Oreochromis niloticus: one gene and its partners. The protein of the gene in region 1 interacts with the protein of each later gene in a pairwise test. Links are inferred from orthologs where the notes say so. Each region holds a gene or a part of one and is shown on either strand. Other genes may lie near its edges. The genes, in order: agtrap, myg1, syt16 and tbrg4.

Region 1 (7,247 bases):
AATACAAGTGAATTTACTTAAGGCACCTGAGAAAAATGCTGCCAGGACTTCACCATACTGGAAAAGCTATACAATGGACTATATTACCTGCAGTTGATTGGCTGAGTGTTTGATCTAAGTTAAAATACCACTCAGTGCTAAGGAATCCTCCTTATCAATTACTTGTGCACCAGTCTTCTTGATAGGTCTTGGACATGAGTGAATATGACATTGGACTTTAATGTACACAAGGTAAAAGGCTCCCCTGTGGTTACATCCCAGGGTCTATAATTCCCACAGGTTCAGTACAGTGACAGAGTCCAGTACTGTCAAACTGTCAAACCAAAACCATTACTGTCAAAATTGTCAAAGAATAACAAACTGAAAAGCTAGTTTTTGCTCAAGATTCATCCCTTCATTGTAAACACCCAAAGCCTGAAGCCTTCAAAGGTGGACTTTAAGTTAAATATTATGCATCAGCATAAATGTATTTATGCAGTGAACACACAACTAAAATGTTCTGGGGCTGAAAAATGAAATCAGAGCTGAAGCTGAAGCACCAAAAGCTGCAGCCCCTGAGGTTGGCTTCACAGGCCACTCAGTTCCCATGCTAAAATGTCCAACGTTACAGCAGAAATGCATAAGCTGGCAGCTGGAAACTTTCTGACATCTGGTGTTGCTTAGTGTTCAGTCATACAAAAACACACTTGAGCAATATGCTATCGACTATCTCCGTTAAGAAAATGTTAATTTTAAGCCTGTTTTGTTGCAAGTCAGAATAAGCATCCCATTTAATATTACGCTTTATGGATGCACCTTGCTAACCAAACTAGCTAGCAATAGCTGGCAACGCCTCCTCACTGCCTGCTCATGTTAATTTGGTCAGATCTGACTTAAGATAGAAAAAAAAAATGAACACAGCCAAGGCCAGAAAGTGAAACTCAATCCAAAACTAAAGCCTTTAAAAACCACAACCCATTGTGGCCGTTTTCTACAGTCTATGAGAAGGGCTCAGTTCTTTTGCTGACCCACAGTCAGGATGAGGTACTAAATAGTTTTCTCTAACAGTCGAGAACAGCCAACTGCACCCATCTTTTCCTATCTGATAAAAGCTGTTCTTGCTTCAGAACACAATCAAAAAACAATTCTCAAGTCACACGTTTTTTTTTGTTTTTTTCCCCCTTAGTCAGCTGATGTCACTAATGTACAATGGAAACATCAGTCACGGGTTCAGAGTTACGGTATGATGAGGGTTAACATAAAACTGGTTAGTGTATAAGCAATTCTGAAACTTGGGTCAAACATTTAAAATAAAATGGCTCCTTAAGCAAATGTAAACCGTCTGAGGTCCTCAGCTACTGTACTGTGTGCTGAATTAAGGGAAGGCTATTTTTTAAAGGGATGCTCACAGAATGCCCTAGATTCCACAGACAAATAGGTTAGCACAGATATGCAGCACTGCGCCTAAAGTTGGACTACTTTATGTGTCACATGATGCCATAAGATCGCATGAAAAAGTGAAGGCAGACTCACCATGATCACTGCATCTACTGAGTCCCTCTGTGCAATCGCCCACACTCCAACTGCTAAAACACTAAGGTTCGCCAATGTGAAGGCCACTGGCGGCCACACCATACTCCCCCTGAAGGAAACACACAATTCATACGAGACAGATTCTTACACACTCCAGGAGAGTTACGTGCAGTTTCACAGAGGACGAGACATGTAGGTGAAAGAGTTGACCTGAATCAGGAGTATAAGCATGTGTCTGTGTGCCAAAAGAGGAGAGAAATTCCTCAGGTTTGTGGAAAAAAAGCCTGTGCTCATACTCACCAGACTGTAAGAAGCCAGTGCACCAGTACGATGGCCTGGAATAGAGAAGGACAAAAATGTGTTTACACTGAACTATCTATCACTCACACACCAGTTAAAAGCTTCAGATCATCAGCTAATCTATAGCAATGATTTCTTCTTTTTATTTAGCCCTCTAAGAAGACTGAAGTCATTGTTTTCAGCCCTGCCAAACTGCATTTTTTTTATACATATGATTTTCTTCAATTCTGTGAAACAAAGTAAAATTAATTGATTTGGAAAAAATGAATGAATGACTGAATCTTTTCTGCCGTTTTGAATACACTGCACGAATATAAAAAAATACACGATATTACACAAAACAGGATATTAGTTAGTGTTAGTGTCCTTCAAGCCTACTTTTGACATCACAGGTTTTATAATCCTTGAAAGAGCTGTCCAAAATTACATTTGAACCATTTTATTCTGTGGACAGAGCACAATGACACTTTTGTCCCTGTTCAGTTTCACAGTTAATCAAAGGCATCAGTTTATAATTTAATATTCCCTCCAAATTCACTGCATATGAGTTTTTAAAGTGTTTGCCAAAATACAGCGTTAGTGAAAATAAATGTTTATATGTTTAAATATTGACCTCTGTCAAAAGGCCTGCTGCCACTCACTCAAAAATGTCCTTCAGGGACCTTATCCCCTGAACATTACCTTAAACACTTCTTACTTAATAGCAAAAAGTAGAGCAGCAGTTTACTGTGATCTGAGTCACAAGCAGAGGAAGGTAGTTGCCACACAGAGGAATTACCACTGAGGAACAGAGCTGACATTTCATTGAAAACCAGCGTTTGTTTGAGCGTACAAGCCGAGGCAATCAGAAACGCAGCAAGTAAACCTCACCTTTAGATTTATGGCAGGGATTTCCATAATTGTCTGTTTGGACAAAGCAGCTCCTCCTTGATCCGATTCGGCGTTTCAACTTGTTAAAGAGCTACATGAAAAAGTACCGCAGTTTCTCTTCTTACACAAACTTCTGTCCAAACCCCTCCTCCCGTCGGCTCAGCCTTGCAAACACAAGCCATGTGACAGCAACCTGACTCGTTCCCATGTGACTCCTGCCCCTCTCACCCTCTCACCCCTTCCCCCAGCCCCTGGGGTGCGGTCCAATTGGCAAATTTGCTTAGGAAGGTTACTAACTAACTGAAGAGACCCGGAAATATGTGTGCGGCAGTCAGCCGCTTCCGTGCTTCTTGGATCACTTCCTTAAGCAGAACTTGAATTTAATAATTTAATAATAACTGTATATATTCTCTCTATATATTGAAATGACATTTCACTCGTGTTTTTAGTTTATATTCCCCGCATGGTAAACAGCATGGTAAAACCTATTAGGGTGAGGTAAGATGGGCATTCTGTAGTCCGTTTTCTGGACTTTGTAGTTTCAATACAGCAGACTTCCACATATTCCAGAGAACCTTGAAAAAAGAACTTTTCTTTGTGAGTTCCTGCCTCTTTGGGGCTAAAAGAGTACGGAGCCCCGCAGGGGACATGGGAGAAAAAAAAATTAAGACGGACTTTTGCGAGATCTCGCAAAACAAACTCGGGAGATCTCGCAAAAGTTCATCGTAATTTCTTTTTCTCCCATGTCCCCTGCGGGGCTCCGTAAAAAGAGGCCACCCAAACACACGAGATTTCAATTGAAAGTCCAGAATTTTCTTTATTACATCTTAGTAGAGTAGCTCAAATAAGTCAAAAGATATGGACCAAAAACTATTCTATTACACATTCTCGGGAGGATATAACTGTACTCAGATTCGCATCACACCCCTGTTCAGTTTTCCTAAGTGGCCTATCTAAAAGTATATTAATATTTAAAAAAAATCTGTGAAGTTTTCACTGCTGACAGAAAAAAATACAAGATTAATATTAAAAAAATTAAACGAGTAAAATTTTATTTAAGAGTTATTATTATTCTGTCAACTAAATATAAAGTGTGGTGATAGAGGTTGACTACCCAAGCACCCTGGGCTCCAAATAGTGAAGCTCTCTGATGCCTCTTTCATCCCTTACAAATGAGGCAAAGTGGCTTAGTCCACCCACTCTTGCAGATGCATTCACAGCACAGCTAATTTATTGTATTTTAGTAACTGCTAATCCACATCCCGAATCATGTCTTTACCCAGGTAAGGATAGAAAAAGGAAAAATATAAAAGAAATGCTTGGAGAACAAAGGTCAATGGAGGACAGCTAACAAGTTAAAAATGGTTTAGCTATCAGCGGTTGCTAAAGACAGAGAGCCATTGTCAGATGTGACACACTATTAAGTTTACTCAGCACGACTAAACAGCATGAAATGGATGGGCCTTAATATCAGAAACAGCCAGAGAGAGTGAACCAGCAGCCTCTCCAAAGAGGAACTCAATAAGTTTATTTCAGTCACTTGTATTCAAAGCAGTTTCAACAGAACATCAACAACGCTAATGTCAAGCAGCATTAAGCTTTATTGTAGGTTGGACCAGCTGTGACGTAATCGATGCACATTTTGAGGAAGCCTGTGTGTTTACAGCTCATGAAACAGAATACCACAATGACACTGCTTATTAAAAAAAGGAGTTTGGTAGTCACGTATATGCTGATAGATGTGTTTATTATTGTTTGCTACTTCTAATGAAACACTGTCAGGCAGCACATCAACATATCAGCATACACTCTTGCAGACGTTTTCATGCATTATTAAATCATCCAGTATCCACAAGACCATTAGACTGTCATAAAACTTTTGTGTTTGATAACATCAAAGGAGCACTAACAGACAGTAGTGTGAAAATGACTTTTAAAGGAAGTTGTGACTGAAGGAGTACTTTGAGCATTAGTTGCTACTTGCAGCAGATGGTGATGCCTGTTGTTTAAATAGATACTGGTACAATATATCCCCCCCCCCAAAAAAAACAACCTATAGCTACGTCACTGAGTTCTTAGTAAACACTTTTCTGATGATAATTGAGTCTTAATGAATACAACATGTGGACTCAATTCACAAGGATTTTCTTATTGCTAAATCAGATTTCAAAGTAGGCTAAAACTTTATTTAGTTCAACAACTGGAGGGAGAACACATGGAAATTTGGTATGGATTTATGGATCCCAGATTCCTGAAGACGTTTGGTGAAGTCCAATTAAATCACAGTCCGGTCAAAAGATCTTGCAGGTGCATTCCTATATTACCTTACACAGCTGGTGTGGAAAACGTTTTTCTTGTCTTTCAGTCCATAAGTATAGTTTTTAACAAAAACATATGTAATAGCCATAATCATATATCACCACAGAAACACTTACAGCATATAAAATATGTATAAGCAGTCTCGTCTGTCATCACACTGCCAAACGTACAGCTCCAGTGGATGAAAGCCAGGAGGTGCAGATGCTGTGACAGGCTGGCAACCTGTCAAGGGTTTACCCTGCCTCTTGCCCTCTGCCAGCTGTGATAGGCTCCACCCGCCATGACGGAAGAGAATCAGTGGATGGAGGTGCTGCTGAAAGCTGTAGAAATCATTCAAAACTGTGCTTGTCTGATTATTATATTATTTCAAAGGGTGAGAGCTCCTTGCCCTATGGGTCTTACTATTCTAAATGACCAGAATCATGAAGTATGTATCACTCGTTCCTTACGTGACTGCCATTTGCCTTCCTCACCGATGCCTGTGTGACATTATGTCCCTGGACTTTAGCACATTTAACCTTTGAGCTCGCTGTAAGTCACTGTGGATGAGAGCAGCTGCCGAACTTTTAAAATGTTAATATGAGATTCACTCTCTGTGATTTCTGTTCTGCAGTCTGACTCAGTCTTTGGCACTTCTGTGCCCTTTTCACTGAAGCGAGATTCATGGCCCAGTGTTGGCATATGGTCTCTGCACTATCCAGCATTAACCCTGACCCCACATGTGACCTCTGACCCCACATGTGACCTCTGACCCCTGTGGCAACACACAAATGAATTTTTCTCTTTGACTGAAAGATTAATTCTTTAAAAGCCTCCATAATTAAATGTAGCAGCCTTAACGTGCTGTCCTGAATGTGCTCGTGTATACATGTGTGTGAAAATGAGACTGCAGTGGGATAAACACACAAATGTTACACTTTGTAGTTTAACATCACAACTTTGTCCAGACAGATTCAGCACTCACAAAAAAACTAATATTTGAACTGAGCACAAATAATTTCTTTGATGTTTTGACAAGTGGAGGCAGATTTCGGACTAGCCCCATGTGACTTCTTTTCATTTCTTGCTCATCTATGTGCTCTAAGAAGTAACCTGATTTGGAAAAGTTCCCTTAAAATAGACACTGTGGGGGTTAATTAATTCAAGAAAGGTAAACATGCATTTGTTGTAGCTGCAGCCCTACTGGGATGTGGCTGTGTGTAATCTATCTTTTCTCTGGCTGTTGGCGAGGTTTCAACAGGGCACTCTACCAGAGCACTCTGACATAGGTAAATATAAAAAATACATGACTGTTGCTTTTATTTTGTGCCTGTAAATCAGGATAGCACGATCGTAGTTCAACTGAGATGGTGCTTAGGAAAGAAAAATCTGTGTTACTTTCTTCATCTAATGAAATATTGATATGGATAGATTTGCAGAGGCTTTGTGTAATTTGAACTGAATGTAATTTCTTGCACTTGCTCTAATGTGTCGTAAGCTTTGTGTTAAAGCATTCTGAGACTTAAGTGTAGCTGGCAGATTATCTTATTACATGAAGATAGATGGTGCTTCTTTCGTCCCTCAAAAATCTCCATATTAAGGAAAATGCTCTCTTTGAAACAGGCTTACATTACAAAGTGTATCGATCAAAGAGAGCCATTTAGTCTTCATCTTCATAAAGATTTTATCTTTTTTCCTTAAAACTCTGATATAAGATAATGAAAGAAAGGGACTAGTTAACTAACTTCTGGCCCAGTGGTGGAAGGGGATTAATTACATATTCTGAGCAACCCTGTTTCCAAGAAAGTTTAAAATATAAATAGGAGAAGGGGGATTTAAAAAAAACAAAAAACAAACAAAAACGAAGCCAAACATATGCTTAATTTGACTTTGATGCCAGAAACACTTAAGCATGATTCCCACTGCGCGTTGCATCACCTCTCCATTTAACAACACGCTCTAAGTGTTTCAGAACCGAGGGCATTACTTGCTGTGGTTTCTAAAGCTTTCTGGATACTGGACTTCAGCTGCTTGAGGGCAAAACTCAACATCACAGCCGTTGGTTTTCAGCCTTGTCCCTTGCATACAAAGATTTATCCCAATTTAATGATACTGAGCACTGAAGATGATGAAGATTTCACCTTCTTTTTGTGTTTTTACACTGAGAAATGTTATTCTTAAACTATTAAATGACTTGCCTCTTCCACAGAATGATGAACCACCCTCCAGTACCCCCACTATCTTTTGTTCCAGAAGCCTATTTATAA
Region 2 (7,407 bases), about 6.0 Mb from region 1:
AAAACCCATATCTGCTTTAATTGTATGTCCTCAGTAGTTACTGTTTCTTCTCACCACGTTTGTTCTGAAAAAATAACTTTGGAACTCATTACATTTTGCCAAAAAAGGAGTTCTTGCAAAAGTTTTTTTTAAAAAAAATCCATTAATATTAATTTTGCTACAAAGTACAGCACTACACACATTTATACTTTCTCTTATATTTTGCATTTTGCACCAGACTTGTTTGTATTTTTTAAAGTGGTCTTGATCATAGGTTTTTAAGTCTTTCTGAAGCCTTTCAAAGTTTTTCTTTGGATGGACACTGACTGCTTTTTCACTCATTTTCAGTCCAGTCCTTGTTCTTGATCATTTTCATCTTTTTGCTTGTTTGTTTGTTAAATCCCATAATACAAATCACTAAAGCATAAAAATGCACTTAAGACAATTGATGAACCACTGTTTTATCTACACATAACAGACAACTTGGCAAAGAACCAATTTTAAATTGTATTATTAGGCACTCGGTTACTAACAGCCTGTAACAAAGACACAGTTTGTTCCTCTTGCTTTAGTCGAATTTATGACACTATAGAAAGATGACACGTTTGACAGGCATGAAATCATATTTTTGCAACAAGGTGATTCCCAAAGCGCTCTTATGTGATCTTGCAGAAAACCTGGTGTATCTGAGCATGAGGTGCAGTGTGTTCTTAAAAAATTTGAGGAACCTGGCCAAGAAGAGGACAATGAAGAAGTGGCAGACCTAAAAAACTCTACTTCAGATGGGACGTTTTTCCATTTTTCAGCATGATAATGCAGCAGTCACCAAATACACAGGTACACAGGTTATGGTAATTACCTACTTGACCAACTCACATATTAGCTGTATTAAGAATCACTAACTTAACTGAAAAAAAGGAGTCCCATAAAACTAAGATGGAGAAGGACTCACCAGTTAGGTCAGGAGTGAGCTGTCCATGGTACTGTTTAGAGGCTACAAAGTCCAAAAGCAATAATGCACCAAATACACTCAGTATACCTGGCAGCATGGACAGAAATAAGACGATGCTTAAATGTTCACAGGTAAAAACAAAACAAAAACACAACAAAATAACTAAATTCATTGTAAATGTTTAGCCTTGTGATATCCTGCCCAGGGTTTACCCTGCCTTTTGCCCTATGACTATGGATGGATGGACAATTGGACGTTTTATTTTTCCATTTAAACTGAAACAGCTGAATGTCTCCTTGGCATAGGATGGTAAATGCCAAAATGTTATTTCTATACATTTTCCTGATCCCAGAAATACACTCATTTAACCTTTTGATCACTGTGCTTTTCCCTGAAATGAGAACATAAAGGATCGGACTGGTTTTTTCCCCACCTTTAAAACAGACTGATAGGCATAACTTCTTACATTAACCATGTTCTTTCACCCATTATTTCATTCATTCATTTTTAGTACCACACATATAGCATATTTAATAAAGCTTTAACAGCATATAATATAGTATTATATATGCAATTGCGAGTGCTTGAGTTCTATTAATAGTATGGCTGTTTAATGATTTGGAGGTGAGCACGACGTTTGTTTGTTTGTTTTCTGTTTGTCTCATATCCTTTAAATCTCTCCGAGTAGAGCTCCGTTTCTGCGGGACACTTAAAAAAATCCCCCTTAGTCTTCCATAAAATACAAGTTGTGTATTTTGAGGAATAACATTGGGGCTTCAGAGGAAATACATAGAATGATGGAGTGTGGGCGTCGACTGCTTAAGTCCCTTTACAGGAGAAACCCTACACCGGCCTCTCTGTGGACTCCCCCACTCCAAGTCAATGTTTATCGATTTCATTAGGCTGAAATAAAGACTTGCCAACGTGCCCGCTGAACTGGTGACACAGACGATGAAGCAACTTGGTTAAATGACTGGGACACAGCGCCACCTGGTGGTTCGACCTCAGACAAACATCGCAGCAAATATTCTCTGACTGTATTTACCGTTTTAAATGTGTCAGACTTCATGACTCATTGTCCCCATATTAAGGGAACATCTGCATTGCTAAGCAGCTGCAGTATGAATTGATGCCAGTGATACATTTGCATGCGATCATTAAAACTGGACAGGAAGAATATATTACCAACATCGAGAGAATGAATGAGGCTCTGCAGGAAGCAGGCTGTGCATTCATAACGCTAATACAAAATCCTACCTTTTGCAGGCTTGCTGTTTGGTTTCCGCTGGTAGATCGGTTTGTAAAGCAGGAAAGAGCAGCGGTTTTTCACACGGGAAAGCCCTTTAACCGTGCTACCTCCGTTCAGCCCTGCTGCTACTACTGGGGTCCCATCTGGCTAATTACCTTGTCAATAAACCTTGAAGGTAATACCGCGAGAACGAGAGTTGGGGGTGAGCGCTGATCCTGACCCTCACTAATGATCCCATCCCAATTCCAGCATGGCAGGAAAAACAGTCCAAGGCAATAACTCAAGGTTTCAATAATATTTATGCACGTGTCCATTCATATTAAAAACCTGTCACTGTATTGTAGATTTCATTTAAAAAGGAACAACAGTTCGTTGCGCCTCAAGGTGTAAAACAGTGTAGAACAAAGCTGACCAGGAAAATGTTTATATGCATTTATATTTATATGTATTTATTCATATGCACATGTCTAATGCACTAACCTTTTTACTGTGATGAGACTCTTCTGTTGTGTGCATCTTTTTTGTTGACATTATCCTTGAGATGGAAACTGGACAGTGATTGGATGTAATTTAGAAAGACACACACCCATGAGCTTTTCTCAGGACAAACACTAAGCCATCAATCTCCAAAGATGACTTTATCTACTCTAATGAAAGTGTGGCGAAGTGTGCGGGGCAAAGGGTAGAAAACCTTTTCTTGTGTCATCCCAGCAGGAACAGTGGCCTAAATAACTGTGAAAGGAAAAAAAACAAAAAGGTTTGTAACCACCAAGATCTCAGGTTGCACTAAAAATGCACAAAGCTGTGAATGGCTGAAAATAAGACAAATGGACTTTCACCTCATCCAAGAGGTTTTTTCAGTTTTAAAATAACTGATGGAGAGTCCCAAGTATTTAATACATAGTGGAGGCGTCAACCTGGAGGAGATCCTATGGGATAACCCAGCTAGGTGTTAAACCTGGAGTCTCCATCAGTTGTAGAACTGAAGATTCCTCTTGAATGAGAGATACAACGTCTTCACAGACAAAAAATGCACAGCCTGTCACAGTGTCTGTGTTGCTTTTTATTTGATCTTCTTGTTCTATCGGCTGCTCATCTCATCTCAGCATGTCTTCCTTCGCTACATCTATGAACCTTCTCTGCGTTCAACCTGTTTTCCTCCTGCCTACATATCCATCTTCAGGATCCACTGAATAGTGTAAACTATCCCTCTTCTGTACATGTCCAAACAGTCTCAGTCTTGCCTCAGTAACTTTGTGTCCAAGATGCTCAACCTCAGCCCCATCACATTTCTGTATTTTACCTTCTTGCTTCTGTTTCTTAGATTTAAAGTGTGCATGTTATTATTTTCTAATGCCATTTCCCTACTCTTTTGCACAATCTCTGTCTCATTTCTTTTACATTTTTCTTTAACTTCATTTTTTTTTATTTTCATCACTGCTGTATATATCAAATAGTGCTAAACATTAAAAATAGATATGAGATTATTTTTATTTATTTATTGCACTACCTCACACTATAGGCCTGAAAGTCTTCATCTCTGCCTCTTGTCATTTTGTCACTGCCACCTTCTCTATCCATACATCACAGCACATCTCATTACAATCTTGTAAACTTTTCCTTTAAATCTTGCTACCATCCTTCTCTCACAAATCACCCCTGACTCTACACCCTCTCCACCCTGCCTGCACTCTCTGCTTCACCTTTCTTGTGTACTGTCCCCTGCTTTTGATAGTTGACCTCAGGCATTTAAACTATTCCACCTTCACTTCACCTCCTTGTATCTTTTCTTGCCTCTCTCATTGACAAAAATCTATTTTGTATGAGAATACGAAACAGTGAATCCTTGTAAATTTAACATAATTATTTTTTATTATTATGTAATTGTAGAATATATTTTTTAATAAAATAAATCATGTACAGTAGTACATAATTAACCATTTGTGCATTATACAGTGTCCAAGTCCTGCTTTTTTTTTTTTTTTTTTAACCCTGCAGCGTCCTCTGCTGTACACAAGTTGAGTTATCATTCTCCTGTAAACGAGCTTCTCCGATAATATAATCGCTCTGATTACCTGTGTTGTTGTCACCTGTGTTGTTTATCACTGTCTGCGTGAGTAATTTAAGCCCATAAAGGCAAACAACACAACGGTAACAATGGTGACAACAACAAAAATGTTACCCGGCATTTTTAGTTCTCTAAACAGGAGCACCACATCCGGTCCGGCTGTCAAATGTGTCCGCCACTGGCGCGTCTCGTGGATTACTCTTTGAATGTTGGTCGTGCGTGTTTTTTCGTTGGCGCTTAAATTAACAAAAAATAGATATTTTCTGGTAACGAGTGAAGCAGCAAGTGTGTCACGAAAGGTATTCTCGCGGTTTAGCTGCTTTAGTTCGCCCGTGCACTTTGCTAAAGGAGAAACGCGCTACATGTCAAGTGAGCCGAAGAGACTCTGCACCGAAAACATGACCGTTACAAAGATCGGAACCCACAACGGGACCTTCCACTGCGACGAGGTTCTGGCTTGTTTCTTCCTCCGGCAGCTACCCGAGTACTCGGTGGGTGCAGCACGCTGCAGATTGATGGAAACATGTTTGGGGTTATTGCTAACTCCATGCTGTGCGTTTAATTTTTTAATGTAATCACTGTGCTCATCGTTACTAGCTAGGTAGAATTTAAATCCTCCCAGGAAGTCCTCACCGTAAGGATAAAGCCACATCTGCATTTTAGGAAAAAACAATTAATCTTGTAATCTTCTGTTGACGGGTCCAGTGTTATGCAAAAAAAAAAAAAAAAAAAAAAACACACCAAAAGGGGGCGCTGTGTGTAAACGGATAGCAAAAACGATTACAGCATAAGCCGTTGTATGGTGAATATGTCACACATTTCAGTGTTATGGTCTGAAACTGAAAATACAGTTTTTGTGTGTGTGTATAGCCAGCTTTGCAGAGCATTTGAGTGAATTTTTTAAATAATAGTTAATCTCAACCTAATGGCACCTTTTGTCTCTAAATGGTACAATACTTAATATGGGTGATAAAATAATATTGATCAGATACAATACTGATCAGAGATTTGCTGCACTGCCCTAATAAAATCTGTGACCAAACCCAGGTTATAACCTGTCGTAGCTGTACCGTTGTTTTGTGGCACTGTATTGTTTATATTTGTAATTTTTATAATTTATATTAGTAACATAAATACCATATTTGATTACCTCTGCACGTCTGTGATTTATGCGTAGTTTAACAGAAACATTTTGATGACATATCTGAATTGACATATACTTTATACAGTCAAAGCTTAAAGGTTGGACCTCCAAACACAGTGCTGGGCTTCTATGGTCTAATTTTTCATGTGTTTTTTTTCTTTTCCCTCTGATGAGATTGTTGTAATGGTCTTTTAACAGGTATCAATCAGAAAGCATTAAATCAACTTCAGATGGTGAAAAATGCAGCAGCCTGACTTCTTAGAAGAACCAGGAACACTGAACATATTACGCCACTCTTAATGACTCTACATTGGCAGGCCATTACTTCTAGAACTGATTTTCAGATTATAGTCATTACTTTTAAAGCCCTTAATGACCTGGGCCCAGAATATATACTAAAACTACTGTTCCCGTACCAAACACCAAGCAGCCTCAGATGCTCAGGCAGAAACGTGTTAACTGTTCCCACCTCACATTTGAAGACTAAAGGTGATCGAGGGTTTGCTCTTTGGTCTCTTTAGTTGTTGAATGACAGTATCTTCTGCTCTCTGTCTTCATTAGTGTCTTCTTTTAAATCCTTGTTTTTAAAAAATAAATTTGATATAAAATGAGATTGTGTATGTTTTTCTTTCGATATTCTTTTATCATCCTGTTCTTTTAGATTTGCTAATTTGACGTTTTTCATTACATTTCGAGTCTTATATGCCTTAATATTTATTTATTTGTAATTTCTTTTTAATTTCATGCTAGTTTGTTTTTTTTATCCTGTGTTTCTGGAAAGTAAAGTGTTATACAAGTAAACAAATAATAAAATAATTATTATTATTAATTTATTTTGACATATATTTCTTTCTGTTTGTTGCACAGGATGGAGAAATCGTTCGCACCAGGGACCCTGCACAGCTGGCGGAGTGTGACATTGTTGTGGACGTTGGGGGAGAGTTTGACCCAAAGAGGCACCGCTATGACCACCATCAGAGGTGCAGTTCTGGCAGTAAGCTGCTGAAAAGAGAGAAATTTATAGCTGTAGATTTCTAAAATATTATGTACTCTGAACTAAGACTGGGGGAGAGATTAATCTTCACTGTTCATCAACAGTAAGGGTCAGGATCATATCACAGATTAATTTTATGCCAGCTGAAAAATTGCATTTCAAGTTTAAGATTAAACTCTTGTTTAGTCCCAAGTGCTGAAAAAAACTCGGTGTTGCATTTTATTACATAAACAAATGTTGTTAGAAACATTATGGCCCAATCAGATTAGTGGTGTGACGATATCGGCCAAAATGAGCTATTCATGTTTTCTGTCTGTATCGGTAGTTTTAAGGATCAATAAAAGAAAGTTTTAAAAGGTAAAGAAGATACAGGAGAAACACCACTCAGCCATGTTATGAGTGTTGATGTTACATAGTTTTTCCAACAGAGGGAAAACTCTATTTCCCTGTCGGCCACTCTGTTTAGGTTTTATTTTTCTAAAAGTAAAAACGGCTGACATATCAGATTATTGGATTTTGAAATTGCCAAATATTGGTATCAGACTTAACAATCCTATATCGGCCAGACTCTAATATACGTATGTACCAATGGAAGGAAGCGTAATCTTTAAAGTCTCCAGTCACTTCCAAGCACTGAGGTGCACCATCTCCAGCAAGCCAAAATAATTTATTGGAATTATTACGCCTGGATTTTTCCCGCTTTAACATCGTCAACGTACAGCCTTTGGGATTTCTTTTCATTATCTGAGCTCTAATGATGAGGAACTACATTTCTGGGTGGCTTCTGCTCTGACATCTTTGAAGCACCCTGATTGCATGAATCATAAAGTAACAGGCTCTGTTTTTTGTGTAGAATTTCTTCCTGATGATTGCATTCACTCGACGTCTCATCACGTTGAGTAATCAGCCTATTCCAGGTGTCTTGTCAGCTTAATGTCCTGATGATAATCAGCCATAGCTTTTATGACCACTGCGATAAAGATATGCCAGGGCTCTCTTCCTCGCAGGCGGTTAGTGATAA
Region 3 (7,009 bases), on another chromosome or scaffold:
CTACATACTCCAGCAGCTCATGTTCTGTAAAGCTTTCCACTTCACCGCCACACCCTCTCTGGTTAGTTTCCTGTTTAAATATTTTAAATATATTTTAAGGTGGATCTGTTTTATTTTATTTTCAGCTTCCATGATATTGTGCCCACAGCACCCTCAGAATTCTGCTCTTGGCTGACAGGAATTGTAGTCCATCCAAGGCTAGAAACATTACATCACTAGTTAGAGTAGATATATCTTCTTTCCTTCCCCCAGCTCACCTACAATAAGAAGAGGAAGGTGGAAAGGTCGCCAATGCATGAGAATTTCATGGAGCGAGTGTCCCGTCCACAAGAGCTGGTTAACATCGAGCTGCTGGAAGTAAGTCGACCCTTCCTTCCCCCTACTACCCAAACCCCACCAGATGTAGCTACACAGCAGTCAAGCTGCATCACATTTCAGGCTGCATTTCTCTGCAGAAGCATCCTGTTCTCTCTGTGACATTAAAAATACTCAACACAAAGTGATTTTAGCTGCATAGGAGGGCAGGAAAGTGAACACAGGAATGACATGGAGCATCCTTTCAGATTTCAAAATAAAAATACTGCAAGCAGACTAAACGCCTCACTTCTAAAGGCTTGTTTATTGGTGTGTGAAAAAGGGAGTAGACATCAACGACACAACATCGCAAACAGGTATCTCTGTTGTCTTGCAGGAAATGGACAACGTTCACCAGCACTATGAGAATCTGAAGGCATCCACCCTCTCTCTGACATCAGCACAGCAAGATCCGTCCGTCAGCCTGATCCGTAAAAACCTCGTCCCTCAGCTTCGCAGCACTGTGGTCGACTTCTACAATTGGCAGAAAAGGAAGGTCTGAAAACGGAGAACATATCTCCTGTTGTTACAGTTTATTTTACCATGTTGTAGCTTCACTTTTTGTGGGTTTTTTTTCTCCACATCTGATGTGATGCTGTGTCATGTTTTGTCCTGACAGGACAGTGTGGATGAAGAAGAGGACAGCAGTGAGGGACCATCATCCCAGCAGGAGGTGAGATAGCCACTTCAGTGTCTTACCTCATGTCTCTTGCAGGTTTAGGTGATGAATAACAGGAAGTCAGAAAGCTGTTGGAGTTTTCCAAAGATGCTGTAACTTTCTCCAGAGACGCCTCTGTTGATCTGCTGTCTTTGTGTGTGTCCCCAGTGCTCCAAAAGGGCAGGGCTCCTTGCTTCCATCAAATCGAAGGCGTACGGACAAGCAGCAGAGGTTTGTGTCAGTGGATACAGTCTTTACTGATTTTTATATTTATTGTGACAATTTATTATTTTATATATGTTTTTTCCCTCAGGTCTCCAAGTCAAGGCGTCATCGCCAGGTGGAAGTGGATTTCACCAGTAACGAGGCCCCCACGTTAGGTCGCTCCAGAATAACCAAGCCGTCGCTCAAAGCCAGAACCAGTGAGAATCTCCATATTTCAGGTAATCTTCCTGTAACCACTAAAAATACAACATTTCCTGATCTTAAACATTTCACACCCGTTCCTGCTTTATGTGCGATCCCAGGCCTTGGCCATGATATTGACAAACAGGAAGGACTAAGTTTGCATTAGATTTTCTAAATAAAACCCTTCAGTAAGTTGTAGGAAATTATTAGCATGCTTTACGATTCCATATTTTAACAAATAAATAAAAGCCTATTATTGCTATTCCCCTTCTGTTCTTTTTGGGCAATTTATTTACCTTTAACTTGTCCAGCAGTTGCAATAATCCCACTGCAGAAATTCATAGTCAAGTGATGTAACAACAGCATAAATGTTAAAAGAAATTAGTAATTACAGCACACATTTTTTAGCATTATAAGCTCTATATATTATCTACAGTGAAGCTGCCTCCGTACTGAAATCCATTTCCTTGTTGCACGTCTTTGAAGTTTCTGACGACTGTTCACTTTCTGTGGTCCCTGGTCACCACGTTGCTGTGGATCACTTTCATTGTGGATGTAATTAAGTCTTCCGAGGCACCGGTAAAATTAAACAGTGACACTAAAGTGCTAAAAAAACACGCAGAAACAGGCTGTATTTAATCTATAAAGCACCTCAGTTAGACTAATCACTGCACATGTATACTATGCTTTATAATTTTCACCTGCTGATTATTAAAATGTTTCCATCAGTGACAGAGAAATTCCAGAATTTTACTACATGGAAACTCTTTATGAATGAATCCTTTGTACTTCTCAGGTGACTTGTGGACGGAAGCCATGACAACCACTAAGATCAGTCGGCTTGCACAGCTCGAGTCTGCTCGTGATGGTGCGTGATTAGGCTCTTTTATATTTCATGTGTTTGCTCACTGGCCCCTGCTGTCTTTTCATTGGCTGGCTTGTGTTCTTTATGTTGTTTTTCTTGCAGATAAACCGAAACAGTACAAAAAGTTCAAGTGGTCCTGAAGAAACTGCACAACACTGGAGCTGCTGTTCAGAGCATTCACTGAAGTCTGATATGTGCTTTGCTATTATAATAAATCATGTTGACATCTTTACCTTTTTTTTTTTTATATACATGTTTTTAAATTATTTTTTAATCAGTTCATTGGTGGTTAAATTACAGTTACAGTAAATTATTGGAAACATTGTTCATAGTAAAGCTTATCGCTATGTAACTTTCTCTCTGAAGGAAACACCATCTGCTGAAGCATTTTCATGTTTTATATAAAAACTCATTTTTTACAGTTACAGTTGTCTGAATCTTTCTTGTGTAACATTCCATGTGTTTGAAAATGTGGACATCTGGTTTTCAGTAGCCTATCTTGCTGTTTAGAATAACCTCAAATGTGTCTCTTGTAATTCATTATCTTCTTTTTGCTTGATTTGTTTTTCCTCGCAGTGCTTATAATTTTTGGGAAAATGCCAAGATGTTAGTCCTTGAATTCTTTAAAACTGATAAAAACAGCTGGAGGGATGTTTGTAAATTCAATTTTAGCCTAAGCTAGTTGTTGCTATGTTAATAACTGGCTTACGTTTAGCAGCTTTAGAACTGTAAATGTACTATTTAACACTTTGTTTTCATTTTTTGACATTTTTAGTAATTAATAAATTATTTATCAATTAGTCCATTACTTAATCTATGACAGATTTTTTTAATATGACTTTTATATGCTTGAACTATACATTTTGACAAAATGAGAGCCCAGACCTCACCATTAGGCAGCAAACATCCAAGAAAGCTGTGGTGGAAAGTCTGCAATGAAGTCAGCTGTGGTCAAGCTTTTTAATTACTGCATGCAGGAGAGCAAAACAGACATCGACCATCACAGTTACACAGTCAGGAGAGCTCTGCTCTTGAGACGTTGCAGCTCCCTTTTCACACACAACTCTCTGTATCGTTTGAGTTACAATAGTTTCTTGTCTACCTGTGCTGTTGCTGGGCAGAGCGCGTTCACACTATGCTCCAGGAAGCACCCGGCACTTGCCTCCCTGGGAGTTTCATACAGTCAGCAGATAACATGGTTAAGCAAACTAAGCAGAGCATATTGACACATGCATCCTTCACCTAAGAAATAAAAGGCTATGCAAAGTTCTACAGTGAATTTGTAACCACTTCATCTAAATGTGAGAATAAAGTAGAATTTTGCCTTCACACGTCTTTAGAATGTCTCTGAAGAAGCCTGGAGAACTGTTCCTGAAGACTATTTAAAGAAATTCCAAGAAAGCTTGCATAAGGAAGCTCAGGCTGTGTTGAAGATTAAAAATTGTAACACTAAATATTGACTTTCAACCTTATTAGAACTGTACAAACTCTGCATTTTGATGTGTTTGCACAAGACTTTTACATAGTACTGACTGTATGTGTGAAACAATATTGTTAAGTCATTATAACTTACACCTATTTGCCCCCCCCAAAAAATAATAATAACCGGGACATTTTTAATTTGCAGATCACAAAATATTGAGTTGTAAAAAAAAATAATAGAATATTTAAATTGTTGAAATGTCCCACAGTCAGTGAACGCCTCACCGCTCACCGCTGTGTGACTGCAGATCTGCGGGTCTGGAGGATGAGGAGCGGCGGGGATGCTTGCTGCCCCCTCTCCTCCGATGATACATCTGATTCTGCTCGTAGTCTGAAGGGAAACAGCCTCAGCCATGGCCTCTGACAGTAAGTATACCCACCTCCTCACCGTGTGACTGCGTCTAATGTTTTTGGTTTGCTTTTTTTCTCCCTGTCTCTGCTGTTTTCAGGCTCCCCTCCTGGTTTATTTTGACTGACTGGGAGCGCCAGTACATGAAGGCCAATTTATCAATTCCTTTGATTTGCTACAGATATTTTTCATATGGAGCGAGACTGTTGCTCTTTAAGAACCTTTTTCAGTCATCATTTAAGCGAATTTAATTAATTATGTCATTCGTTCTGCTGGGGCTTACAGCAAATTTGTGATACTCCGGACAGTTAATAGTTGCCTCATCATGGCCACTTCAAGGACGCCTGTTTTGCTCGCACAGTTGGGCATAATAGCTAATTGCACATGAAGAGCATATAATATGAGAGATATTGCAATATATATCTGTAAGGACCTTGATAAAATGTAGCGGGATGTGCTGGATGTTACACGGGGTTTCCCTTTCTTCTGCCAATGGGTTTCCCAAAAGCAGAGCCTCCCTTTAGGCTGTTCTGTCAGTCAGGCGGCGCAGGTGGTGGAGACAATGATGGTTTGTCAGGTAGCGAGAGAAGTAGGTCAGAAACAGACACAGAGACCTCGTTTTGTTTCATAAATGAAAGCCAGAAACACGTGCCATATTTTACTATCTTTCATTTTAATGTAAACTGTTGCATAGAAATAGTTTGCAAGTTCAAGTTGAACTGTCGAGTTACCCTGTGTCTTTCAAGCAGAGTATTAGAACTACAGAACTACAACATGGCATATTCATACATTTATTTATTCATTCAAATAGAGAGTAACTCAACAGGTGTACATATGACACAACATGAGAGGCCTGCTCTTCAACGACTTTAAAACTGTAGCCCTTTGTATGCAGAAATATTTTGCTGTCACTATTGTTAATAATAAAAATTAATTTTGAGGAAATAGATGTTGGTGAAATGCAACAAAAATGCAAGCCATGTTAGGGTAAAGAAGAATAAAGGCTTATGTGCAGGTCGGTTAAATCATGAGACTTCAGATGCAGCTCCAAAAAGCAGATTCTGTTCATCTGGGCGTAACGTTTTCACTGGGAGTCGGGGGTTGGAGGCTGAAATATCCTGCAGCAGTAAGGCCCAATGGACATGTTAGGTGACAGGCAAAGTGTTGTTATTTTTGTTGTAGAATTTAGTTTACTGATAAAATTTTATTTAATATGTTTTAGTGTGCAGTCGATTTACTTATACAAAACAAAAAAATCATGGGCACTGATGCATGCAGGAGGACATTGCAAAGCATAAGTGTGCTTCCTCATGCTCAGGCCACATTTGCAATAGGTATTGTTAGCTCTATTTCATATTTGTCAGGAGGCTTGACTACTAAAAACAGTCCTTCTGTCAAGATTTAGAGGACGCTTACTTTGACAGAAGGAGACCAGACAGTTGCTTAAATACATGCAAGTGTGGTATGTGTGAGAGACCACAGGCAGGTTGTAATGTTAAGACTTAGTGTCTTTTTTTTAGCCTGGTGATGCTGATGTGAGTAGCCGTTGTATTAAAACCCATCCCAGATGAGAGACTGACCAATGAATGAGCTTATTTCTGCTTAAACTGGAAGTTGTCCTACATGAGCTGCCAAAAAACCTTTCACATACAGTTTACTGTGTCAGCTGTGACTGTGAGAATGAAAAATATGTTACTGAAAATGAGAAACTCATCTGTAAGTCAAGAATGATTGGGAATCAAAAAAAATCAATAGATGTGTGGAACAGCAGCTGAGCCAGAGACTTTTTGATATAGCTTATACTGGATGTTTACAGAGAATCTTAACCTGTCAGTGATGCTAAGACAAGATTCAGAACAGCATCAAAGCAATGCTCAGCATGCTCCGCAAAACAGTAGGAAGCAGTTAGCCATGCACGAGAGGCTGTTTCTGGTTATTGTGGCCTAGTTACAGACTGCTTCAATGTCTTATTCATGGCTCTCTCCTCCCCGCTGTGGAGGAGGGCTCTGAGTACTATCTAATGTTGCTGCTGCTGCTGTGTGTTTGTGTGTGTGTGTGTGAGATTAACAGTATGAGGACATTTAAACTGCCTTGAAACCCATTTTTCCCCCTTTTTTTGAGAATAAAGGCCTAATGGTGGAGTTATAGTATAGTACCCTACTAGAAAGCAGACCCACATAGTCAGTCGCTGTTGCTTTGCCTTACAGGCTTTTTGAAGTCACTAAACATTTCTCGTAAGGGTAGATATTAGTAGAAAGTAAACTGAAGCTACAGAAGGTATCGGCCACAGTCAAAGGTGTCCACAAGGGGGCACAAGAGTTCTTCTTTGGCTGTCCGGCAAACAGAAAATTTAGGTCCACTATTCTCTCTGGTTTAACTTTGTTTGGGGGGCTTATCACCCTATGATGAGCGCAGTGTTCCTCTGTGTTCAGTAGTCTGTCTTTAGCTGTCTCTGCTGCTGAGCAGGTAGTGTGTGTGGATGATTTATTGGCGCTTGTTTGCTTGCTGCAGCTCGAATGGCTAAAACCTACGACTGATGCCCACATTAACAATGAATAATGGATGAATCCTGGACTATTTTTAATTGCTGACATGCGTCCTGCTGCATCTGAGGGCTAGCAGCACCTGTCCAGTTTAACACTGAGCTCAAAGCCTGGTTAACCTGTGCGTCATGCTGTTTAGCGTTAGCGCGAGTATCAGTAAGGTAGATTAATGCATCTCTACAGTTTGTGCTCCATGTAGCAAAAAGGAAAAAGCTTTGTTTTTATATGTCTTATAATACTTGTGTCTGATACCAGAGCGTACTTCTTTGGCCACTTCAAAAAACATTTTTTAATAACATCTACACTGCATCATGGACCTCTCTTGCATTATCAGTTAATCCATTTTAAAT
Region 4 (7,068 bases), on another chromosome or scaffold:
CAGAGAGCATTCGTTTTAGTTAGGAAGCAGAACGAAATGTGCACAATCAAGCAAAAGCCTTTAATGACAGCACCTTGTTAAAGAACTCGTCTCCTTTGCTGGGCTGAAAGCCCAGTCTGGCGAACGTCATGAGCAGATTACACAGCTGAGGAGTACTATACTTGTCGCTGTTTGCTGTGTAGTGCTGATAAAACAAAATGTACAGAGAGAGAATTTAAGATCACAGATGCACAACGTTTTGAAAATGACTTTTATCAGGGGAAGATTACTCACCTCAGCAAAGGCTTCAAAGAGAGGGATATGGAGCCATTTGAGAAAACCAAGTGACTTAGCACAGCGTGTGATGTCACCAGAACTGAGCTCAGGGACTCTGGGTAACAACTCTGAGGCCATTCGCTGAAATACCTGAGAATGGTGGAAACTCAGCTTCCCTAAAAGCAATGATAAAGGTTCTGTTGTTGGCAGCACAGAGTGTGTGAGCAGACAGTCATATAGAAAAAACACAACCAAACCTCATTCATCAGGTTTATCAAACCTAATATAAAGACTTGTGATGATAACACATACATAGCCTATTATTTATGGTGTTATTACCGTATGCAAAGGCCATGTCCATTATCAAAGGTGTGGTGAACTCTGCCGAGGGTTTCTGGAGAAGGTGGTAGGACAGAGCCCTGAGAAGTGGGACACTTCTGCGCCTCTGAGCTGCCAAAGATACACAGACTTTGCGAATATCCTCTCCTGAAAAGCCCTCTGCAAGCTCCAAAGCCTAAAAGTGGAGAAAGAGGATCCTTCATATGATTTCAATATATGTCAAGTCAAATCAATTTATTCATATAGCACATTAAACGCAACCAGCTGCACAGCAACTAAAATTAACAAAGAAACAATACAAGTAATTCAAGAAGAATAAAAACAATAATAATAATGATTAGGGAATGGAGCAATAATATAAAAATGATAATAGTAAGTTAGATGAAAACAGTAAAATAATACTAGAAGAAATGCACAGAGGAAAATGACAGTAAGGTGAGGCAAAATATATTAACATATCCCACGTTATATTTATACTCCAAAAGAAGTTAAATGAAAGAAGAAGATAGAAAATCTCTGTACAGAGTTTTATTTATATGGACACCGTGTCTAACTATAAGTAACTTTCACTCTGCTGCCACTACAGACACAATCATTTTTATATTTTGTATTCAACACATTAATATTTCAACTTTTTCTATAATATGATGTATAAAATTTCACACATGCTTTCTCCATTTAGCAATCTCATGGGATTGCATGCAAATGACTTTAACCCAGTTAGAAGGGCCAAACTTTTAAACACATAAATCTGCCTAAAACACTGACAATAAAAGTTGAAACTTCAAAACTGGAACTTTAACCATGTTTTAAAGGTAAACGTTGTTTGAAGTGTGATACCTTGTCCTCCAGTCTGTCCATCAAGCTTGGCGACATGTGTTCTCCTTTGGATATCAGCGCACTGACAGTTTTCACATCAGCAATCTCAGTCCAGCGCAGCTCAAGTTGTTTAAGCGTAGCGTTCACTAGTTCCACATCCTGCTGACCTTTCCTGCCTGCTCCCCAGTCTACCAAGTAGCCCAGCTGTCTGTACGTCAGCCTTCGAATTCTCCACAGGACTTCTGTCTGGACAGAACTGAGCACCAGATCGCCGGGGGAAACGCCCATAATCCAGAGAGTTCGCAAGACAGACACTAGACTGCTGTTCCACACAGAAGACACCTAGAATGCACAAAGACACATGAGATGTTTATCTCAACAGACAAGCTTAAAATCCTTTTGAGTTTGATAACTTTAATAGATGAGGGCAGAGCTAGTACACCTCACTCATGTACCTGCCGAGATAAAGTATTCATCATATCCAGGAGCCTTGAATCCGTCATCAGCTCTGGTTGTTGTTCCTTAAACTTCCCCTTCGTTTTTAGTACCAGCTGGGCCCACTTCATGAGGGCGGTGGCAGCTTGATTACCATTACCTCCATACTTTTCCCAAGCAGACAGGATGTCCTCTGGCACTGTTGCCTTGTCCACCGATTCGTCCAGCTGTGTGCGAGTAGGGCTCACTGAATAGTGGTCTTCTTTGGTAACTGCTGTTCTTTCACACATTGACCTCTCTGTGAGCCATGGCCAGCCCTTGGCTCTTTGAAACTCTGCAGGCCCAGCAGCAGATAGAGGTAGGCGAGCAGCAGCAGCAGCAGCAGCTGAGGCCTGAGAGGAGGATCTGCAGAGCAGACGGGCACATCTGCCCAGGAGGCGGCCAGCCATGGAGTCTGAGAGACAGAGAGTGGCTACAGACAGGAAAGAAGGGCTTTCTTACAGCTCAGCAGCTGCTGTCACCATCCCACTTTAAACCTGAGGGGGCAGTAGAGAATTCAACATTAAGTGTGGCTATAAGAAAAGGGTCGCCTTTTCAATCTCACTACAAGTTAACACATCTTCAAGTCCGCCAAATGCTTTAGCCATGTTTCATCTTCTACTTGTGATACAGATTTCCTGAACAGTGTCGCTAATGGTGATAAAAGTGGTTGTATAACCAGTGGTACGCACTTTCTGTTCGTCAATAATGCATCTAAAGCTAGCTCTGCAGTACATGCTATTGTAACGCGGATTAAAATCCCTCTTCTGTACACGGAACCCCGCAGCCAGAGAGAATACGCTGGTCTTGTCATGTAACGTTGAATCCTGACCTTGTAGAGAGGAAGAGGCGCAGTGAAACGCCGGTCTTCCATCTACCTCCCCTCATAATACTCGTGTCTGTGCCTCGGAGAGCAGACTCACTGCACAGTTTCACCGGCTACCCAAATAACCAAAGGCTTACCTTTAATTTACGATCATTTTGGCGAAAGTTGTTCACATGGAAAGTGTCTAGGAGAGATGGTCGCAGAAAATTGACGTCGTCGGACACTGTCACGTGATCCGCGGATGTCGCTGTCATTGGCTGGAAATGTTTCGAGTCGCCCGACAAGAATCGAGAGTCCAGGTCGCGTTCAATAGCGCAAAACGTGTGTTTGACTTTAGTGTTGGACAAAAACCAGCCTTGTATTTAAATCTGTTTATTTTATAATGTAATCCATTTCTATATAAACCAAATCCAAACGTTCACCGGTTCATGAATGAAATGAAGCTCACATTCTGGGCAAATCTGTCTTATCTGCAAGCTACTTAGCCTAGCTTACCGTCACAGTTGGTGTGAACGCTCTCATCACACTTGACAGGAGAAAGCACTGTGCAAAACTCTTGAACCACCCATTGCATTACTTTTTATATGTTGCTTACATATTTTTTTTCTTGAGCAATAGTTCTCCAGATTTTCTGAGGGTCAGTCATTCTTTGGACATTGGCTGCTTTTTCATTCATTTTCAGCACTGTCCTTGTACCTGGCCTTTTTCACGGGAATTTGGCTTTCTCTTTTTCTTCTTCTTCTTTTTTTTGTTTTTGATCAGCTACTTAACAACCAATGAATCATTCAAAAAGGGGTGAACCAGTGCTGTGTCTACACCTAGCAGACAACTTAGCAAAGAACCAATTTTAAATTCTATCTTTAGGCACTTTGTTATAGCAGAATGCCACAAAAACCCATCACTAGTTTCCATTTCATTTTCTATATTATTGTAGGTTTGACAGGCAGAGTGATTTCCAAAGAGCTACAGCAAAAACAAAAACTTAAGGAAACCAGACCGGCGGAGGCAGGGCTGGGCTGTCTGAATGTGCCATACCTGGATTTAATGGGCCAATGGAAAGTCTAATGAAAGTGGTGAAAAGGTGGAGTTGAAAAGCTGAGAGAGAGAGAAAAAACAAACAAACAAACACACACACACACACAGTACCAGCAAAATCTACTAACCAGCCCTCGCTTGTTACAACTAGTTACAAACCTTTAAGGAAGGGAGAAGTTCAAGGGTTCAGGCAAAATTAATGGCTACTCGACCAGTGAATGGCCACTGCTTATAGTACCAACTGACTAAAACTTGTGTCAGTATCAATAATAAATATATACTGAGTAATCATGGTGAGCCACCTCGACTAAGAGTTCAGCCCTGGATGGAGGAAAAAAGAATAAGTAGCAGCCCAAAACACTATTTACAACAGATGAATAGTATCTGAAAGTCATGTTCTCATGAAATTGGAAACAATTAAGCAAAGTCCTGATACAGAACATGAGATATGCATCTGGATCTTTATTCTACCCATCTACTGTTTGCTAAAGCCTAATCAGAAATGGTCTCAGTGGAAGGTTGGCTGTAATGAAGACATGCTTAAGGAAGGGAAACAGGGAGAAAAGGCTGATATATGTCAAATTACACAAAAACTGAACAAAAATCAGTGGCGAGAGGTCTGATGGAGCAATGATTAAAAATTTGAAATTTCAAGCCGTTGTCATTATCTATAAACGAGGAAGGGACAGTGGTACAACAATGAGTGTCTGCAGACATCTGTAAAAACACAGCGGAGGCTCTGTCATGTTTGGGGCTGCAGATGACAATCTGAGCAGAGAGTTTCCTCTCACCTATCACCCTCCAGCACTGCATGCTTAGAACTGATAAAAATACTTTGATTATCTAACCACTGTTAGACTATTATACAGCGTGGTATAATATTGACTCCCTTAAACACAGCTTATCGTACCTGCTATTTATCTTTTTATTTACGCAGCATGCAAAGAGTTCTACGTAGGAACAGGTAAGGGACAGTATGACCTTAACTCTGTTTGGTACATGACCACAGGCTATTGTAGTTAAAATATATATAGATACATAAATCAACTCTGAACTGGCCATTTATTATTTTCAAATGCCCTTAAAGGCGTTCGTTCACTTGTTGTAGTAACTTTGCATATAACAGAATTTTAAAACACCATATATACATCACATGCATATTTGAATGGGTTCTTTACCTATTTGGCAAAGCACAATAAACTTACACATATATGTGATCTAGCGCTCATGATTTGTTTGGTTTTACCATTCATTTTTAGTGCTGTGATGCAGCTGTAGGGATCACAAACAAACATAAATGGCAACCACTTTCCACACCTGTGGACAGACAGGAGTGCATTAATCACATGTGGCGGTAGTGAGGGGTTAATGCTGTTAACGGAGGGGGATATGGGCTTAGACCGATCGAGCATGAGCTGTCACAGTGCCAGTCTCTGTGACACTCAACTTGCAGCGGGAGGCAAGCGACATCAGTGAACACGCCAACACCATTAACCTTCCTCTGTGGTCGAGGTAACCTGCTCCAGCACCGCGGATAAGCTGAGATTGGCAGCAGGTGTGACAGCTGATTAACCCCAGCTGCAGGCAATTTTCCCTCTGATGTTTCTGTTTGTATTTTGCTTTGTGGAGCTGCAGGCCGTCATTGGCTGTCTGGTCCTGTGGCACAGCTGTTAGGCTGTGAATTTTAGTTATGTCTGTTTTTTCACGTCTTTGCCATTAGAACTACATTTTGTTATATACTTATATAATTAGTAATAATCAGTTAATAATTTTCAAAAATTCAGCCAATTAGATATTAGATCAGATCAGATTTATCTGAATCTATCAATGTAAAGTGGATTGTTGTTCAGCACTGGGAGGAAGTGGGTGCACTGCAATGTTAAGATTATGTGGTTAGAATGACATTGGTTTCTTTTAACCTTCACTGTTCTTTGCTTTTAATTTCATTCAGTTTATCAGGAAAAACATGCTAAGGTTAGATAAGAGATACACAATACAGTTTCACTCATATCATAAGCTAGTGTGTGTGTCTGTGTGTGTGTGTGTGTTCTGTGTAACCTGACTAGAGGTGACATTTTACGCAGGCTGCTTGATAAACACGAGTCTGTTTCCAGCAGTGTGAGTGCGCATGTGCAAATTAAAAGGACTTTTTGAGGTATAAAAACCTTTCCCAGAAAATTTGTTGTGTCTCAGACCATTGTGTGTGTGTGTATGATCGCGTGTGTGTGAGAGAGAGAGAGTGAGAAACAGGGTGCGTGTTCAGGACTGTACCTTAAGTGACAAAATTTCGGGGACAAAGAAGGACCGAGTGGTGTGGACCTCCATTGATTTGGGAGCACCTTCCCCTGTCACACCTGCAACCATGAAGGTAGGTGACGCAGAATATTCTGAATTAAGTGTGAAAAAGAGCAGCAGGTAGATCTATTAAAGAATAAAATTGGTCTATTTAGTCATTTCTGGTATATTTATAAATGGGTTCTAAGGAGTTTATATGCTTAAAGATGTCTATAAACAACTGTGCAGTATACAGAAATGGCTCAGTTGAAAATAGCAATGTATAATTTCAGGTATATACATAAATAAATATGTATTATTTATCTAATTGTACAGTTTATCTGTGGGTTTCGTAATCAGGTGGTAAAAAATATTAATTTAACATAAACCTCATTTAATAACAGTTTAATGTTAGCAATACAAATAGGTCACATTGAAGGGTACTGTGTATACCAAATGTATGAAATTATTTTGTTTTGGTCTCTTCACCATCAAAAATATATGGACTTAAGTATTGTTTCCATATCTACCTGCATTCAGGACTCATACGACATGTTTGAAATGAATGGCGAGATGGACAAGAAGAAGAAGAAAAAGATGAAGAAAAAGGAAAAGCTGGAGGGCATGAAGAAAGAAATGGATATAGTGAGTGATTTTAAGAAAGCTGTTCTTTTATCACCTTTAATCATATAGAATGGATTGGGCGTTACTTGATTAAAGGTCCTATGACTTTCCACGTGACTTTTATGACTTATTCCAGCTGCTGTTGAGATCTGACCAAAATGCATCGATTCAGATATGAGTACATAACCTTAGCTCGCTCCTATCTCCCCTTTGGAAGATTTCTGAATCTGTAATTTTGTCTGTCTCCTTCTGCAGGATGACCATGAAATAACAATTGAAGAGCTTGAAATGAGGTACACCACCAGTGTCGATAAAGTAAGACATTTCTCATCTTTTATTTCAGTCTTGTTTTCACTCTTGTTTATTTATTATTTATTATGCAACATTAAACAAGACAAAGGCGGTTCCTCTGTCCTTTTTTA

What was found.
Region 2: the proteins of agtrap (region 1) and myg1 interact in binary tests that used the Homo sapiens proteins (3 or more experiments, as listed by UniProt). The two-hybrid records come from large-scale screens. The link is inferred for Oreochromis niloticus from reciprocal best matches to the Homo sapiens genes AGTRAP and MYG1.
Region 3: the proteins of agtrap (region 1) and syt16 interact in binary tests that used the Homo sapiens proteins (3 or more experiments, as listed by UniProt). The link is inferred for Oreochromis niloticus from reciprocal best matches to the Homo sapiens genes AGTRAP and SYT16.
Region 4: the proteins of agtrap (region 1) and tbrg4 interact in binary tests that used the Homo sapiens proteins (3 or more experiments, as listed by UniProt). The two-hybrid records come from large-scale screens. The link is inferred for Oreochromis niloticus from reciprocal best matches to the Homo sapiens genes AGTRAP and TBRG4.

Annotation. Positions count from the first base shown.
Region 1 is NC_031970.2:11,712,595-11,719,841, forward strand, and holds the start of agtrap (type-1 angiotensin II receptor-associated protein), read right to left. Parts: upstream 3,009-7,247; 5' UTR 2,710-3,008; coding exon 2,683-2,709; intron 1,848-2,682; coding exon 1,813-1,847; intron 1,622-1,812; coding exon 1,513-1,621; intron 1-1,512. UniProt on the Homo sapiens protein: Appears to be a negative regulator of type-1 angiotensin II receptor-mediated signaling by regulating receptor internalization as well as mechanism of receptor desensitization such as phosphorylation.
Region 2 is NC_031970.2:5,668,009-5,675,415, reverse strand, and holds the start of myg1 (MYG1 exonuclease), read left to right. Parts: upstream 1-4,389; 5' UTR 4,390-4,454; coding exon 4,455-4,739; intron 4,740-6,259; coding exon 6,260-6,372; intron 6,373-7,407. UniProt on the Homo sapiens protein: 3'-5' RNA exonuclease which cleaves in situ on specific transcripts in both nucleus and mitochondrion. Involved in regulating spatially segregated organellar RNA processing, acts as a coordinator of nucleo-mitochondrial crosstalk.
Region 3 is NC_031983.2:5,188,658-5,195,666, forward strand, and holds the start of syt16 (synaptotagmin-16), read left to right. Parts: upstream 1-4,000; 5' UTR 4,001-4,120; coding exon 4,121-4,133; intron 4,134-7,009. Other genes in the region: snapc1b (snRNA-activating protein complex subunit 1b), read left to right, coding at 1-61, 253-357, 692-850, 974-1,027, 1,181-1,243, 1,326-1,455, 2,217-2,288, 2,388-2,425. UniProt on the Homo sapiens protein: May be involved in the trafficking and exocytosis of secretory vesicles in non-neuronal tissues. Is Ca(2+)-independent.
Region 4 is NC_031976.2:19,413,219-19,420,286, forward strand, and holds the start of tbrg4 (FAST kinase domain-containing protein 4), read right to left. Parts: upstream 3,004-7,068; 5' UTR 2,851-3,003; intron 2,385-2,850; 5' UTR 2,298-2,384; coding exon 1,869-2,297; intron 1,756-1,868; coding exon 1,435-1,755; intron 770-1,434; coding exon 595-769; intron 432-594; coding exon 274-431; intron 185-273; coding exon 74-184; intron 1-73. Other genes in the region: potassium-transporting ATPase alpha chain 1, read left to right, coding at 6,111-6,116, 6,563-6,667, 6,902-6,961. UniProt on the Homo sapiens protein: Plays a role in processing of mitochondrial RNA precursors and in stabilization of a subset of mature mitochondrial RNA species, such as MT-CO1, MT-CO2, MT-CYB, MT-CO3, MT-ND3, MT-ND5 and MT-ATP8/6. May play a role in cell cycle progression.